Linked DNA regions of Canis lupus familiaris. The protein of the gene in region 1 interacts with the protein of each later gene in a biochemical or structural test. Links are inferred from orthologs where the notes say so. Each region holds a gene or a part of one and is shown on either strand. Other genes may lie near its edges.

Region 1 (2,219 bases):
AGGCCTAATAAATGATGCATTTCAGTGATAACTGCCTTTTGCACTGGTCACATTTGGGAAGTCCTTTTTTTTTTTTTAAACCTAGTGCAATCTTATTTCCATATTGTGATAGTCACACACACACACCCCCTGAGTGACCCAGTTTTTTAATTGGCACCCTCCCTCTTCAGGATACAGTTGAAGATCATCTGCTGATCATTGCTGTTTTGTGTATATTAATGCTCTGAGGCTTTAGGACTACAGTTTTCCTAAGACTCTTGACATTTCCCAAATCTGAGATTGTATCTTGCTGAAATACCATGATAAAATTGAAGGAAATGGAAATGGAAGATCTCTATAGGCTATTTCAAAAGTATATTACTTAGATAGCTACCACTTGAGCAAAAGCCAGGTGTGATTAAGAGTTCAAAATACTGTGTTTTATAATACTGCTTTGAGGAATTATCTGTTCAATTATTTATGTCATAAAGCTAGAACTGAGGTTTTACGATTCCTAAAGAACATTTTCTGCAAGCTTAGAGGATTTATACCTGAGACACAAGTCATTGTGATGCAATACAGCATTAGAAGGTAGCTTATCAGAGAAAAACAAACAAGTCAGAAAACCAATGTTTTATTCCTAAAGTTCTGCCATCATTTCTAGCGGGTGCCGATGGTCACCTGCCACACACGCACCAGGTTGTCGGTGTAGCCAGCAAACAGAGTCTGCAAGGGAGAAAGGACAGCGACAGGTCATGTCAGAGTCACAGAACTCTGCATTTCTAGTAAAAAGATGGCCTTTTAAGATCACCAATCCTTGAACCATCAGGTTGTAGGTGGTATGTATTCCAAGAGAAGGTAATTAATAATCACTGCTAGATCGATCAATTTTCCTTCCAATGCCAGAACATGTACTCTGTTCACTGACAGTTAATCTGGTCCTCCCAAATCAACCTGGCTAATTTTATCACTTTACTTTATGTCAAAGACACACCAAGAATAAAGGAAGAGAGAAAAGGTAGAAGCCAAGTCACTTCAGAGACTCACTTACCTGGCCATCAGCAGACCAGGCCAGAGAGGTACACTGGGGTGGCTCTGCCTTGCTGCTGGTACTGATAACTTCTTGCTTTAGTTCATCTACAATGATCTTGCCTTCCAAGTCCTGGGGAATGGGCAAAATCAGGATAAGGAGGGACTCTGCTACAGGCATCCAGTTGGGAGTAGAGGCTGAGTATGTTACTGAACAGCCTAAAATACAGGAATGCCTCCCCCTGCCCCCAGAACAGTCTAGATCAACTTGTGCTGAAGTTGAGTAAGTTGTCATCCCCCTTAGTAGACAAGTGTCTGCCACCACTGCAGATCCCAGTCTTGGAAAGCTGTTACCTTGCTCTTCCTGGATCTCCACTGCTAGCCGCATGGTTAGCAGGTATTCAGAAAGCTCAAATCCCAGCAGTGACAGATCAGGAAATCACAACATTACCAGGACTCAGAGAGTACAGCCAGGTGTTCAGCCTTAACTGTAGCCCACACTCACCCAGATCTTGATGCTGGGGCCCGTGGCAGCACATAGCCAGTATCGGTTAGGACTGAAGCATAGGGCATTGATGATGTCTCCACCATCAAGTGTATAAAGGTGCTTGCCTTCATTGAGATCCCACAGCATGGCTTGGCCATCCTGGGAAGACAGGAAAGGTGAGTCAGGGCAATATGAAACCCATTGCAGTTGTTAATCTTAACTGCCTCAAAAATTTTTTTTATTACTTAACAGTCCCCCTTCCCCCGCAAACTTCCCAAAAACTAATGAATGATTCAAATACCAATATTTATCTCTGAATGCCTTTCCTTTAATGCAGGGCACCTCACCAACCCTACGATGTCTCTGACAACTTCTAAATAAATCAGTTCTGAAAAGAACAATCAGTTCTGAAAAGAACAGTTTCAAGAAACCAGCTTTACTGAAAACAATCTTTTTCTTTAAAACAGTATGCCTTATCTATGTCATTTCCAGGAAGCAATCTTAAGATATTTATTCTTGGTTGCTACCTCAATATCTTAAATATCTTTTTAAAACAGTCCCTCACTGAGTAGTAAACTCCCAGTTTCTGAATACCTTCCCTCCAGAAGCACAGAGAGATCCATCCGGAGAGACGGTCACGGTGTTCAAGTAGCCCGTGTGGCCGATGTGATTGGTCTTCAGCTTGCAGTTTGCCAGGTTCCATACCTAGGTTTGGTAAGGTGGA
Region 2 (3,657 bases), on another chromosome or scaffold:
TTCTGAGTACTGGTTTCCATTTTCAAACTATTAAAACAGTAAAACAGTATTTAATGTTTCTTTAAAAAAATTTGAGGAGGTACTTTAAAGATTGTATACTGCAGTAAGGTCATCATTTTGATGACCAATTAAAATACCCAACTTAAAAAGTCTGAATATTTCAGTGATTTGATCATCAGATTGTCTCTGATTGTTTATGACTGTAGGTAAATAGAAATGCACAACAGTCTAAAGTTAAGGTTAACAATGTCATTTTTAACTAATTATGACAGTTATCTTGAACATAAGATGCTTTAGTCCCAGGAATCCTTATAAAGTGCATTCATATAAAAGTGATTACTTAAGAACACTTTACTAAGAGGTAGATAAAATTGGAATCATGTAGCTCTCACAAAACTCATAAAGGATGGGTATCTCTGATATGTGTCTAGTGTCAGGCTGGGAGCAAAAGGCTGGGTGAGAGGAGAAAAATAAGCATAAGTCCCTAAACTATCCAAAACATTTCTCCCTCAGTCCCCAGCAAGAAACTTTACTTGACAAATAATTCCTTGTCCTATAAGCAACTAACCAAATCTGTTCACACTGCCTTATCAATCAACTCTAAAAGCTAATGGTACTTTAATTCTTGAATGAAAACAAAATTAAATATCAGATATAAAAATATTTAATAAAAAGTCAACATTTATTTCTAAATAAAACATTTTCTTACCAAATGAACCATACCAAAAAAAAAAAAAAAAAACAAAACAGGAATGTGGCAGAAACTATCCCTTTAGGACCAGACTGCATCTGGCTTTAAGATAATCTTTTTTTGTTTTTTTTTAAAGATTTTATATATCTATTCCTGAGAGACATACAGAGAGAGAGAGAGAGAGAGAGAGAAAGAGAGAGGGGCAGAGACATAGGCAGAGGGAGAAGCAGGCTCAATTCCATGCAGGGAGCCTGACGTGGGACTCGATCCCAGGTCTCCAGGATCACACCCTGGGCTGAAGGCAGTGCTAAACCACTGAGCCACCCGGGCTGCCCACTTTAAGATAATCTTAAAAGGACAATACACCAACATTACAAGAAAAACATGATTCACAAATGTTGACATCACAGAGGCACAAAATCACATTTTATACTCTTTCACTATTGATTACTAGGAACAATTCAAGAAGCTTCAAAAGAATCAAAGACTAAAAAGGCAAGTTAGGTAACAAGGTCTAGTATGTCTGCTATGTTGTTTTGTGGGGTGTACATACCATCGATACTACGGAAATCCAGTAAGTACGTTCTACTATCCACTTGGTATAACTGTAGACTCATTTTGGAGTAGGTGCTTGTCACAGGATTCTTCCTTCGAACACGCAAATAATAAGGGTTTACAACCTAGTGTATGGTATGAACAAAAGCAAAATCAAAATCAATTCTTCTAGAAAACAATTTATAAACTACAGGTTTGCCAAATGTGCTTATTACTACAATCAGAATGTCCTTTTTTTCTTACCTTCCATTCATAATCCAGTTGTTTAATTGCCCTACAAACTTCTGCCATGATATCATTTGGTCGACTTTGACTTCTAATTCCCAAATGCCATTTTGCTTTCCTTACACCTTGGTGCTTAGATTTCTGTGGATTTAATTCATCGAGAGTGTGGCGTGCCCTAGGTGTTTCAGCAACCAAGAATGGTACTCTTTCAGGATGGGGCCGAGTCAAATGGTGATCATCGAGAAAAGAATCAGGTGGGCTTGTTGCCAAGTAAAAATCTTTGGCCTCATTCATTATTCTCCTGTTATCTATTATAAGGTGGTAGGCAACTGCTAAAGGGTCCTGGTGATTTCTGTTATAAAGGCAGCTGAGAACTTCCTCTTCTGAGCACTCAAATTTTTCACATACTTCTTTTAAGGCTTCATCATCAATCATAGTTGAACTATACGATGGATCCTCGGGAAAAAGGTATTTTGGAAGGTCTTGTTTAAACCATTCATGTTCCCTGAGAGAAAACAGCAGGGTCAGGAGGAGGATTTTGAGTAGAGATGAATGAGACTGCAAGCAACAGTTTGGGGAATTTAGGATATAAATTCATTTATATTTTCATTTTTTCAAACTGAGACTTTCCTCCTCTGGCTCACATTTCATTGTGTATATATACTGGAGGAAATGCTACAACCTCCCTCTGGTTTTAAGAGGGAGAAAGCAATGTTGTACCAACAGGAAAATAAATGTCTACACTTTTAAAGTTTTGGCACAAATGACAATGACAAATGATGAAGATGAGCTTATTCCCAGCTCAGAAAAAGAACATATTCTGTGATTTTAATTCTCTTTTGATATAATGTTAAGTGAAAAAACCGTAACAACAAAAACAGACAATTATCATTCATTGAATGCTTACTATAATGGTAGGTTTTACGCTAAATATTTCCAACACATTATCTCACCTCATAAAACAACTCTATGAAGATGATAATATCTCCTTATTTTTAATGAAGGAACTAAGAGTTTCCTAACTCCATATATAAAAGGACCTGAACTATGTCAAAAACTGCTAAAACTAAAAACATCAAGAAAGGAAAACACCCAAAAGAACAATAACTATCTTCTGGGTGATAAATTAAAGATCATTTTAGATCTCTATTTTTTGGGTGTTTTCTAAGTCTTTTCCAATTTAAATTGGAAAAAAAAACATGTAAAACACAAGAAAAAGCATCTTTCACTTAGATATTTAAAATTTTAAAGAATGATTTTGTCCTTTTCCATTGGTAGTTATAAGCATGCCCTTCCATATGAAACTTAGAAACCAGTAATTTCACATGTGATTCAATGTATACTACCCAAAAACCACACACATCATTGATTAAATGTCATTACTTAAGATGAACAAAAGAAAAAAAACAGTAACTCATGAGATCAGGACTCAAAGAGTGACACAGAAATTTGCTACTAGTGAAAAGCATTAATCCTAATGAGACTACATAAAAGTCAAATATGAAGCATACTACAGAAAATCTTAAAGAACAACTACAAAGGTAACATCCCAACAGGGTCCTTTTTATTCCACATTACCTACCTTTTCATATTTAAAAACTAATATTCACTGTTCCAATTTCAAAAGAAAGATGCATAAGTAAAAAGTGAAAGCCCTCCCTACTACTAATCTTCCTTCCCTAAGGTAGCTAGTTTAGTATTTTTAAATACTAAAATAAAATAAATATGCCTATGTACTATATTTTTAACATAAAAATGGCATTACATTGTATATACTGTCCAACTATTTTTTTCACTTAACTTGTATCGTTGAAACTATTAGATCTGATCATCTCCAAGTTGCATTATTACCTGATATCTTTGATTGTGGCCCTCTTCATGGGATCCACCTGGAGCATATGTTTCAAAAGGCTAATCACAGATGGATTTAAATACTGAGGGGTATAAAAGATCCCATCACATATCTTCTTAAAAAGAGTTGGCACATGATCATCATCAAATGGAAGGGTTCCACATAATAAAGCATAGAGAATAACCCCACTGCTCCATATATCTACCTCTGGACCTGCATACAATCTGTAACAGGAAATACCAATCAATTAAATAATTAGTAACTTGAGAGTTGATCAATTAATAAAAAATTTTAAATATGGATACTTCATAAAGAATTATTACAATATGGTTTC

Evidence for each region. The genes of interacting proteins can lie anywhere in the genome.
Region 2: of the proteins of RACK1 (region 1) and PRKAA1, one has a biochemical effect on the other in vitro, tested with the Homo sapiens proteins (2 studies listed by BioGRID). The link is inferred for Canis lupus familiaris from reciprocal best matches to the Homo sapiens genes RACK1 and PRKAA1.

What each region holds. Positions count from the first base shown.
Region 1 is NC_049232.1:609,473-611,691, forward strand, and holds the end of RACK1 (receptor of activated protein C kinase 1), read right to left. Parts: intron 2,201-2,219; coding exon 2,090-2,200; intron 1,655-2,089; coding exon 1,514-1,654; intron 1,142-1,513; coding exon 1,031-1,141; intron 706-1,030; coding exon 640-705; 3' UTR 598-639; downstream 1-597. UniProt on the Homo sapiens protein: Scaffolding protein involved in the recruitment, assembly and/or regulation of a variety of signaling molecules. Interacts with a wide variety of proteins and plays a role in many cellular processes.
Region 2 is NC_049225.1:69,524,471-69,528,127, reverse strand, and holds part of PRKAA1 (5'-AMP-activated protein kinase catalytic subunit alpha-1), read right to left. Parts: intron 3,548-3,657; coding exon 3,323-3,547; intron 1,977-3,322; coding exon 1,490-1,976; intron 1,372-1,489; coding exon 1,245-1,371; intron 1-1,244. UniProt on the Homo sapiens protein: Catalytic subunit of AMP-activated protein kinase (AMPK), an energy sensor protein kinase that plays a key role in regulating cellular energy metabolism.